Linked DNA regions of Caenorhabditis elegans. The protein of the gene in region 2 purifies or fractionates together with the protein of the main gene of each other region. This does not show direct contact. Each region holds a gene or a part of one and is shown on either strand. Other genes may lie near its edges.

Region 1 (6,008 bases), on a different chromosome or scaffold from region 2:
GAATACTGAATATGTGATGTTAAGCTTTCAGTACAGAACAACTTTTTTTATTGAAAAAAATGTAAAAATAACTTTATTGATAAAACCGTTTCCAAAACTGAGCTTATATACCAGTCAAACGGGAAAACTTTAGTTTAAAAAATACCTAGAAACTAGACAGGTGAATTGCGTTCAAAAATCATATATGATCTGCTAAATGTCAGCATAAAATGGATTCCTTGAAAAGTAATTTAGTAAAATCGTACCGGAATTCAGTGAAAAGTGATACAAGTTCGGAAGACAAAACGGGTCTCAATAATTTAGATGTGCAAAAAGCTTATTGACGTAAATTTTATGTATAATTATGGAAAGTACGTAATACTTTTTTGGTAACGCAGAATATCGAATAAATCTGCTCATGAAATTTTCTAACTTCGAAGTAAGTGCATTCTTAAAATCAAAGTTTTGATTCGATTTTTTTGGCAGAAAGGTATAACTCAAAAGTCCCGAAACAAAAAATATACATTTTGTTAACGGGCTTAAACAGACGCAGTTATTTAACTTCATAGTTCAATTCAAAAATGACGGCGGTCTCGAAAAAAAATTTGAGCCTCTCACTTTTTTGCATCATCGAAAATCTATTTCCTTTTGCGCATCGGTAGGTGTGAAATTTGAAGCGTCATTGAAAAGGTCAAGTTAAACGTTTTTTTGGCATTTCAAATAGTATAGACCTAAACGTATATATTATATTTGAATTCGTTTCATTTTTGAAGTAATATTGTAGTGAACTATAATATTGAGACATTCAGTTACGCACTATGTTTTGTCATACTTATTTCTTAGTATATGCATTTGATACAAAATACAAACTCGGAGGTTCAAAATTGTAGACTCGAGCATTGTCAGATGTGTATTTCAATAATTAACGTGTTTATAAATAATGAGCGAAATACTATGACGGCATGAAAACGTCATGTGTTTAAATAGAAAAACTAACAAAGGCGTCGAAAGTCAAAAGTTTCAAAAATATAAAGTAAAGGGAAAAATTAATTTCCTATAACTTTTGCCAAATTTTTTCTGGGACAAATGATATTGTGCAGAAATTGGCAGAACCTTTCTGACGCGTACCTATTGGTATTTATGAATGTGATTATTTTTATGTTTACGAGGTAGAAAACAATTGCAAATGCTCACGTAAAATAGCGTAGTCTTTCATTTTCCAGAATGTGCCTGGAAAAAACGCTGCTGTAAAAGAATCGTGATTTTTGAATTAAAAAGTTTTAAGCGTCTACGACATTTTCTAACCTAGACATTACAAAAGAATGATTGATCTTTTTTTGAATAATTTCCTTGCTTAAGTTTCTTATTTGTTTTTTGTGTGTATGTTCCTATATTAAGAAACCAAGTAGGGGATGAGCTCAGCTCTGCCACACGGTTAAATTTTTTAACGCATTTTTTAACGAATTTTTTTTCCAAAAAAATATATGATGCCAACATTTAAACTGTCTGTTTTTGTCGCTTTTGGAATGTTTATGAAACAACAATTGCCAATCCTAAAAAAAGTTTTGTGTGTAGCATCGAACCTATAAGACCAAATGAAATTCAATACTCTAGTGAGGTAATCTGTACCCAAAAACGAAAACTTTGTGTACTCCGATCGGACACAGTTTTCCATCGGAATGATATCACGATCACGGCATTGTTTGTGTTTTGTTCCAAAAAAGAAATATAAATTCGTTTCCATTTTTCCAGTTCATGGTAACCGAATGTTATTCTATTTGGCAATTTGTTGGTTTTTCTCAGAATATGAAATTCAACGATTTATTATCACAAATGTGAATACAAAATGTTCACTTTGGGCACTCCTTGAGTTCGGTGCATCTGTAACCGTTTCGGACAAAACCACTGGAACACTGGCAAACATTTACAATGCATTGTCTGGTACATGGTCTTGGTCCTGGTTTTTCACAAGTTGGCTCACAAGCGGTTCCGCATCGGAAGAATGTCTCATTTTCCGGACATTTGCTAGTTTCCTTGGTACAGGTGGAAATATCGACACATTTTCCAAGTGAATTACGCACAAATCCTTTCTTGCAGTCGCATGCGTTTTCAATACATTGAGCAGATAGACACACTTTCTGAAAATTAAATATTATAGGAGAACATGGAAAATTATAGATTACTGGAGTGTATCCGCATTGTGTCTCACAGTGATCATGGCATGCAACCATTTCCTCGTTGGCTCCACATGTCTCTGAAAAGTAAAATGTTTATTTTCCAGAAATATTTAACAATAATCATTTAAAAATAAACTTACTATTGGCAGCTGTCGCAGCAGCAATAAAACAGGCAATTATGACAAAAGTTCTCTAAAAACTCATTAGTTTTTGCATTGCTCTAATGAAAAAAAGAACGAACCATCACAGAAAGAAAAGTAATGCAGCAGTCTGATGTTTTCTTTTGAAATGACTCTATTTATTGTTCGAGAACACTAAATCACGCAGAGGACTCTAGTCTATCAAAACCGCCCTTTTGTTTGCCAGAGACATAGACATTGAAAAAAAACGATGACCAATAAATCCAAAAGATCAAACAGAGTTTTTTTTAGTTTTTCATGCCAGGAAAAATAATACTGATGTAACAATTGTGTTATCAATAATAGCACACAACTCCAGTTTCCTTCATCACACTTCTTTTTGAATTTTTTCCAATATTTGATGGTTTATTGAACTTGGAAATGTTTACTCAAAAACAAATTATTTTGGACAATCTTTCTTATCAATGCATCTGAGTCCATGACGAACGAAACCTTTGGAGCATTGGCAGACATTGACGATACATTGTTTAGTGCAAACTGTTGGATTTGGTTTCTCACAAGTTGCTTCACAAGCTGTTCCACAGCCAAAGAATGTCTCATTTTCTGGGCATTTTGTAGTTTCCTTGGTGCATTCAGATACTTCGACGCATTTTCCAAGAGAATTACGAACAAATCCGTCTTTACAGTCACATGTGTTCATGATACATTGCTCCGTGCAAGCTTTCTAAATTTTGAAACTTTCAGTAATGGGAGACACATTAAGTTAATTGTTACAGGGGTATATCCACATTGTGGTTCACATGTATTATGGCACGATACCAGCTCCTCATTGGCTTCACATGTTTCTAAAAAAATATTTATGATCTGGTAACCGTTCAAGTACCAAATCACATATATTTACTTACTTGTGGCGGTAGCAACAGCAACGATGCATGTGATTATGACAAGTATCCTCTGTAAGTGTATAATTTTTATATTAGAAAAAAAACTCAAAAACTCACCATTTTCACAATAACGAAGGGCAACCAACCGATGTTTTGCTTTTTAACGGCTCTATTTATTGTGCCGGAACACTAAAAAACGGCAGAACCGCCCTTTTTTTCGGAAGGGATGATACGAGAAACATGATAAGATCGAATGGGAGATATTATAGGTCTTCTCAATCTTTTGGAGAGAAATTTATCTTTCACCGGTCACGTATTTATTTTGTAAATTGGGCTCACAACAAAGGTTTAAAAATCTCGAAGAATTTGTATTCGAAAATTCAGAAAAAATCAGAAACACATTAAATCGAGAACCTTACGAAATTTCATTCCGACCAATGATTTTAATGAATCAATTCACTAGAAGATATCAATTTAAAACGTATCGCTTGGTGCAAATAGTTTTGGCTTGGCTCACTGGAGAGTATTTCGAATGTGTTTCATCCATAATTACCAACTTAACATTGTTTGGTTAACACTGACTTTTTGTATTCATTGTATTGCAACACGGAATAGTTCATAAGTTTTTTGGCTATTGAAAAGGAATACAAATATTATGTTAAAATTCGAATATTGTTATTTTTAAATTTTCTGAAAACATTAGCATGAAAACATCAATATTAAAATATGAGAAAAACAACTTTTTTTTTAATCATCGAAAATATTATTCAGTGGTATGTTGTGCAACACATACGTCCACAATTTGGCATGGTTTCTCCTCACAAGTCAGCTCCACAAGTTCACATTTTTCGTTCTCAGAGCATTCAAGAGTGCATTTGCCTGAATGAAAAATTTATGACTAGTATTATGTGCAGGTTTTCAGCGAATAATCACTGATGGTTAAATTGGTTAAAGTCTAGTAATAAATTTTGAAGCTTACTGCATTTATTTTTCTCCACACATTTTCCAGTTGCCGAGTCTCTGACGAGTCCTTTCTTACACTGGCAGACGTTTGTCATACACACCAAATCACATTCCTGAGAAACAATTTATGATCATACATAATCTCAACGTTGATTTACTGGATTCTCGTTATCACATGTCGGTTCACACGCTGAGCCACACGCCTTGAGCTCTTCATCGCCCTCACATTCCGGTTTGCGGATTGCTGGAAGTTTCCAAGAACCACTGGATATTTTTGGTTTCACTACACTTACGGATTGGCACGCACTTTGGATCAACTGAACAATCGTCTTCAGAACCACATTCCAAGTCACTGACTGGCAGTTCGCATCTGAAAAAATATTTTAAAATTTATAATTGGAAATATTAAAACCTATAATTATCAGGACATTTGATAGAACCACAGAGTGCGTCTGTGTGAGAAATGGGCATGTTTTCTGTGTTTTCTGAAAATAAGTCATTTGATTTTTAAATAAAACCTTGGTACTCACTAAGAACTCCAGATCTAGCAAAAGCAAGAAGAGCAAAGAAAATAAATAATTGAAAATTCTGAAAAAACACACTTTCATTTGTTGTAAGATATGAAGAAAAAACCACTCACCATTTTGATGAAAGAATTTCTGAAGAAACTTTCGGAGTGGGGAAGTTATGAGAAGGAAGCAATCATTGAAATAAAATTGACAGGCGTGAGACCGAGGATGAGTCAAAAGATTAATGACTTGGTGAGACCGGAGAGAGTTCAGCCGACCGGAATATTTCTTGAGTGCTGTTTTTTTAAGTTTAAAAATATGTTATTTACAAAATTACTTTCTACGAAAGTACGCCTGAGAAGAACAAAGAAGTAACTGTTTTCGGTTTTTGCTTGAATAGACTCAAAATGCGCCCTAGGCAAAATTTTGGTAATGAGAAATCTCAAAAATTATGCAATTTTTTTGAGAAGTCTTATTATGAAAGTTGCCCATTTGAGTATTTTTATTATATACAAGCAAAAACTCAAGACTGTTGGAACAGAAGATTAACTGCTGGGATGGGCTTTGAATATATTCAAAATAGCTCCAAAAGCCAGAAACTTCATAAAAATAACTCGCAAAAATACTCAAAAACTGTGTACAGCCGTTCAAAAATTTTTAACGTTGTTTCCAAATTGTGAAAAAAATAGTAAAAGAAACAAACAATAAATATTTTGTCAGCTAACAATCTTTGTTTAGAACAAACGACAATTGAGATACGCTGATCAGCTGCCAAAGTCGAACAATAGGTGTGATTCTAATAGATAAAACACGGTACTTTCCAGTTCCAATAATTCCAATACCCCTAAATCTAATTCATTTATGAGAAGTCTCCTATTGAAAATTGATAATTTTAAACACGTTTATGTGGTTAGTTTGCTCTCAAAACAGTTTGCTCCGTCGAAAATTTTTTAAAAGAAGCTTTCAGATAATAACTTTTTGATTATTCAAGTACAAGTTTTGGCAAGTCTACAAACTTCTTGACAATTCCCTCAAGCTTATATATAAAAACTTTGGCATTGTTTGTTAGAAATCGTTTGGTTATTCTGACATTTGAAAATTGATTTATTACACTGTATGAAATTCACAAAATTCCATCACAGTGTCGATTTTTTTAGCAAAATACAATTTGAATGATCTCTTGGATTGCTTCCTTCTGGACATGCAAAAATCTTGCAAGCGGGGCCAACAGGACATGGCTTGTTAATACATGGAATAGGCACAGGAATACATATGGATTGACCGTAACATGTTACAAAGTCACATGCATCTGGTAGTTGTGAATGTGAATATTTAGCCAGAAATATAAAATAACAG
Region 2 (5,806 bases):
ATCACAGATGGGTACGCAAAACTGTGTCAGGAGACGATATTCTTCACGAATAATCAGAAATTATTCGATAAGTTTCAGAAATTTCAAAGTGAGTCGGGGCCGAAATCGCGCTCTGTTGCACTTTTTAATTTCAAATTTCAAATTTACAGATAACTATACAATGTACCACGTGGATTCCAGCCTTAACCATTTCTACTGGACATATTATTTATATGCAATGGAATTCTCGTCAAAAGTCCCGGCTCAATGGACATTTTTGGGCGATGATCAGACTTATTTGATAGTTCCAAATCTTCGAAATACTCTGAGAAATTTTGATTCTGAAAAACCAGTTGTTCTTGGAAAAGTGAAGGATACTAGGTTAGAATTTTGCGTTCCCGTAATATCTGAGAATGCGTATTGCGCAACATATTTGACGCGCAAAATATAAATATATCTCATTGCGAAAACTACAGTAAGTGGGCCCGTAAATCGACACAAGCGCTACAGTAGTCATTTAATGAATTACTGTAGTTTTCGCTGCGAGATATATTTATATTTTGCGCGTCAAATGTGTTGCGTAATATGCATTCCCAGAATTTAGTTTTCCCGTAATATTTAAATCAGTGGCCGAGCTTTTCCAAAAAACCAGCAATTTTCCAGCACATTATTCTCTTGGCTCTTCCCGCTGAGCAGCTTCAAGAAGATTTCCGTTCGTGGTGGAGTTGTGCTATCAAATCCAGCAATTGATAAGCTTTCTGCTTGCAAGTAAGATTTTTTTTAGTGCTACGTACCCAATACAGCGAATTTGACGCGCAAAAATAATTAAATTTCTGGGAACCCTACACCTTGTGTATCAAATTTTAATAAAATACTATTTACTTGGATTTTCGAGTCGCGAAATATTGCGCTAAAAATACGGTACCTGGTCTCGACACGACAAATTTTGGTCATATGCGAAAATATGTGCGCCTTTAAAGAGTACTGTAATTGAAAACTTTGGTTTCCGTGGAATTTTCATTAAAATCATTTATTTTCATAGTTTTTCTCACGATTGTTAATATGTATGTTTAAAAAATAAATCAGCAGAAAACAATGAAAAAGCGATAAAACTCCACAGCAGCACAAGTTTGAAATTTCACTAATCTTTAAAGGCGCAGACCTTTCAACATTAGCAAAAAAATGTCGTATCAAGACCGGGTACCGTAATTCTGGGGCAAATATCGCAAAGTTTTGCATCAGTGTAACAAATTTAATTTGCAAAATTACCGAAAGTTTTTGAAGACTAAAAAATCGAAAATCAGAGAATTACTTCTGGAAAACTCCCGAATAAATTCTAAAAATGTTTGATTTCATGATTTTCAGAGGATTTTTCTTCTCGCGAGCCTCGGATTTCGCTCTCTACGACTGCAGCGAGAAGTACGGTGTCCAGATAGCTGATCCATTTGATGAAGATGCTCTCCGACTATTCAACGATCTTCCACCAAAACAAATAATTGCGCCAGACTCGAAATTGTTCCGTTCAAGTCCCACAAAAGCCGGAAAATGTTCCGACCACGCGATCTCGTTCGGCCAATTATCCGAAAAGGATATGCGAGTTCTTCAATTCGGAATGTCGCTGAAAGTATTCGGACGCGGAGGTTTGTACCCATACAGGCTTCCGGTAATTTTCCCAAATTGCAGGTCTTGACACTTCTTCAAATGAGACTACCGATTTTTGATCTTCTCCAGCAGCTTCTCCAGAATCTATCCAATAGTATTTCTATCATGGGACGTGTATTTCTCTTCTTGCCGGGTGTAAATTTAATTATTTTTGAAATTAATTATTTTTCCATAAAATAAAATAAAACTTAACAAAAAGAAATGCTACACTATCTACGAAAAATTTGAAGAAAATGAGAACACAACAAATGAAAAGAGGGAAATATAGAACAAAAAATTAAACAATTTCAATGGTAGCTCCAGCCTTCTCCAGAATAGCCTTCAACTCATCGGCTTCTGCCTTTCCAAGATCCTCCTTAACATTTACCGGTGCGGTTTCCACAAACTTCTTGGCCTGAACGAGATTGAGGCCTGGAATGGCGTTACGGATCTCCTTGATGATTGCGATCTTCTTGGTATCATCGAATTTCGTTAATTTCACAGTGAATGTCATTTTTTGTGGAACGTCTGATGCGGCTTCCGCTTCGGCTGAAAAATAATGAAAATAAATAAATAATTTTATTAAACTATAATAAATAATGTTTACCCTGAGCGGCTGGAGCAGCAGCGGCAGCAGCCATCAATGGTTGATCTGGAATGTTGAGCCGCTTCTTGAGAGCCCAGTTAAGATCGGAGACGTCGAGCAGGCTGAGATTCGCGATTTCTTCAACCAACGAGCTGACTTTTGCGGAGATTGCTCTGTCTTCTGATGGCAATGGTGCCGGGCTTCCCTCGTTTAATGGAAGACCTGAAAATTTTGATATGATTTTGAGGAAAATCTTAATTTTCAGATTACCTGCGGCCTGGGAGTACTTCGCGCTGCTTCTGAGCACCTTGGAGATCGGTCGGAGTGTTCTGGACAACATATTTACCTGGAAGTTGAAAGGTAATTTAGTTTTTAATCGGAATAAGAGAGAAATATAAGTTTGAAGAAACTTTTGTTTATGTAATATATTTTTAGCTAAAAAATTAACAAATCGATACCCGAAAAACCTAATTTTAAAATAAAAATCATAAAGAAACGCAAAAAATTAGCGAAAATTGAGGAAAATTAAAAGTTTTGCAATGTTTACCGACTTAACATCTTCTTTACAAGATCTTTAACAATCTTCAATAGAAAAACTCTAAGAAACCACGAAAAATTAGCAAAACTGAAATTCCAAAATTGCATATCTTTATAAAGTAAACCCCCTTTTTAAAAAACGAATTTTAACCTGGGTTTTGGTGATTTTCAACGTCGGAACCATGCAAATTACGACAATTTTATATAAAAATTCAGAAATTTGGTTGGAAAATACGGTGGGAAACGCAAAAAATTAATAAAAATCGCACAGAAATTGCAGAAAATAAATCCGACCCATCCGAAAACGCGCCAGTAGCCACTCGTTTGCGCAATCATCAACTGCTTGCGCACTTCCGGTGCACTGAGCTCCCGATTTTTAGTCGCATGTGCCCTTATCGAATTTCGTTGTCTATCTCTTTTTCGCGAAAAGTACGAATTTAAATTTTGATTCTGTCGAGTGCAATTTATGCGTAAATCGATATATTTCCAGTGTTTTGCACTGTTTTAGGCCTGAAAATCGTTTTAAACATTTTTTTTCTGTTTTCAGGTAGAAAATTTGAATCGTTGATGAGAAACTTCATCTTATTCCGAAGAAAATCGATTGAAGAATAAAGGTGGGTATGAATTTTAATTTTAAATATTCAAAAACAATAATCCTTTGAAAAATAAAGATAATTTAAACTTAAAAATAATAAATTTTAAAACAAATAAAAAATCATGATTTAAATCAATGAGTGTTCCCCTCGAGATTGTGTTTTTTTGCAGTATGGGCATGAACACAGGTCTGGTGATTGCCGGTGTGGCTGGCGCAACGGCGCTCGCCATCTCGGCGGCCGCAATTCCGTTCGTGGCGCCCGCTCTGCGACGCGTCTGCATTCCGTACGTCCCAGCAACGACGGAGCAGCTCGCGAACGTCTCCCGCGCACTTTCACTCGCCACGAGCAGCAACAGCAACAAGAAGGGAACGCTCATTGATTTAGGCTCCGGCGATGGCCGTGTTGTAAGTTATTCCCATTTTCCCGATTTTAGATGAAGTTCGGCGAGCAACTAGCGAGCCACTTGACGCCCGAGTGGCGGAAACAATACATTGACTATGAGCGGCTCAAAAATCTATTATACGATGATATGATGGAGGTTCCCGCCGACGATGACCGCCGAGAAGAGCACATTTCCCGGCTCGACGAGAAATTTTTCAACGAGTGCGACCAAGAGCTCACCAAGATCAACCTATTCTTCTCGCAAAAAATCGCTGAAGGACAGGGAAAACATCACGAGCTTCAAACCGAACTACAAGTGTTCAAGGATGTTCTTGGGTCTCGCAGCGATACCACAGGGATCCGTAGAAGGTTCGGAGGAAAAGACAAATTCCATAAGGAGACCACACGGAATGAGCAGCAGCTGAAACTCGCATTCTCCGAGTTTTATCTTTCTCTGGTGCTGGTTCAGAACTTTCAGCAATTGAATGCTACCGGATTTCGGAAGATTTTAAAGAAACACGACAAGCTCACTGGCAACGAACGAGGACTCGACTGGCGGATTAATAAAGTGGAAAAATCGTCGTTTTTCTTGAATCGAGAAATTGAAACTCTGATCACAAATGTGGAAACCAGTGTAATTAATGATTTGGAGGCTGGAAATCGACAAGCTGGAATGAAGAGGCTTAAGGTTCGAAATTTCGCTGAAAAAATTGGAAAATTGATTATTTTATACGAAACAGAATTAACTTTAGAAAACCCAATGAAAAATTGAATTTTCGAGCGATTTTCAGTTTTTTTTTTCGGAGATTTTTTGAAAAAAAATCTAAGAAAATGCTGAATAGTAGTTTTAAGTTTTTTTGAAAATAAATAATAAAAAATTTCAATAAAATGAATTTTTTCTGAAAAAAAAATTTCTAATCAAAATAAAAATTTCCAGGGAAAAATTGTGATATTTTCAATTTTTGTTTAAAAAAAAAAGAAAATACAAAAACCTGACTGAAATCGTTGAAATAATTTTTAAAAAAATTGAAAACCTAGAAAATTATCAATATTTGATCTAAAATCGAATAAATTTTTAAAATAGTAAGGAAATTAATTTTTTTTAAATCGAAAAATTCGAGAAAAACACTCGAATCTTTCAAAAATTAAAAATAAAATAAAAAAATATTCAGTTTTTTCCGAATAAAAATTTCTTTAAAAAATGTGAATTTCAAATAAAAAATTTACTTAGAAACTAAAATAAAATTTAAAAAAAAACCGGAATGAAGAAAAAATCGAATTTTCCAGGTACCACCACTCTCGGAGAAGCAGAAGCCTCTCACCACCTTCTCCCTGGGCCTCTTCATCGGTGCGAGCATCATCCTGCTCCTTGCAATACTTCTAACATGGATCGCCTCCCCAGCACGACCTCAAGAACCAAAATGGGTAGCCGTTCGTTTATTCCGAGGACCACTACTTCTCTTCCTATCAATCTTCCTTTGTGGTGTGAATATGGCTGGTTGGGCTGCTGCTGGAGTCAATCACGTTCTGATCTTTGAAGTAGATCCCAGGAATCATCTCTCATATCAAACTCTGATGCAAATCGCATCCTTTATGATTATGCTGTGGTCTTTTGCAGTTCTCGCCTATCTATATGCTCATATGCTCCATATTCCACCATTCGCACCTCCATTAGCACTAATGGTGGTTTGTCTGATTCTTCTTCTGAATCCAATCGCCAAACCCGACTCGGTATTCCACAGAAATTCTCGATTCTGGCTTCTGAAACATTGCTACAAGTGCTTCACATCACCATTCCATTTCGTCACATTCACCGATTTCTGGCTTGGAGATCAAATGAACTCACTGACCACCGCATTCCTAGACTTTCAGTACTTTGTGTGCTTTTACGCTACAGAAGTTGACTACTCGAATGGGTGGATTGAAGTGAAGGGAATCAACTCTACCACTGGATCGGTTCCCTGGGGAAGTGTCGAGTTGTCGAATGGAAAGGATCAATGTGCTTCTGCCGCAGGTCTTCGGTCCCTCATGTCGATAATTCCGGCAATGATCCGTTTTCTGCAGTGCCTCAGACGTTATAGAGATA

What was found.
Region 1: the proteins of mrpl-12 (region 2) and C25E10.8 fractionate together in Caenorhabditis elegans (co-fractionation; one large-scale study listed by BioGRID). This does not show direct contact.

The regions. Positions count from the first base shown.
Region 1 is NC_003283.11:9,051,533-9,057,540, forward strand, and holds C25E10.8 (TIL domain-containing protein), read right to left. Parts: upstream 2,538-6,008; 5' UTR 2,401-2,537; coding exon 2,398-2,400; intron 2,349-2,397; coding exon 2,297-2,348; intron 2,234-2,296; coding exon 2,163-2,233; intron 2,118-2,162; coding exon 1,830-2,117; 3' UTR 1,730-1,829; downstream 1-1,729. Other genes in the region: Serine protease inhibitor swm-1, read right to left, coding at 2,736-3,020, 3,071-3,141, 3,202-3,250, 3,298-3,300; C25E10.10 (TIL domain-containing protein), read right to left, coding at 3,944-4,059, 4,160-4,256, 4,302-4,387, 4,437-4,513, 4,556-4,628, 4,674-4,731, 4,784-4,786.
Region 2 is NC_003281.10:10,704,507-10,710,312, reverse strand, and holds mrpl-12 (Mitochondrial Ribosomal Protein, Large), read right to left. Parts: upstream 2,553-5,806; 5' UTR 2,547-2,552; coding exon 2,477-2,546; intron 2,429-2,476; coding exon 2,228-2,428; intron 2,170-2,227; coding exon 1,919-2,169; 3' UTR 1,792-1,918; downstream 1-1,791. Other genes in the region: W09D10.5 (N-acetylgalactosaminide beta-1,3-galactosyltransferase), read left to right, coding at 1-88, 150-360, 643-747, 1,345-1,619, 1,663-1,700; Y39A1A.22 (Xenotropic and polytropic retrovirus receptor 1 homolog), read left to right, coding at 3,773-4,408, 5,008-5,806; Y39A1A.21 (ATP synthase subunit C lysine N-methyltransferase), read left to right, coding at 3,510-3,743.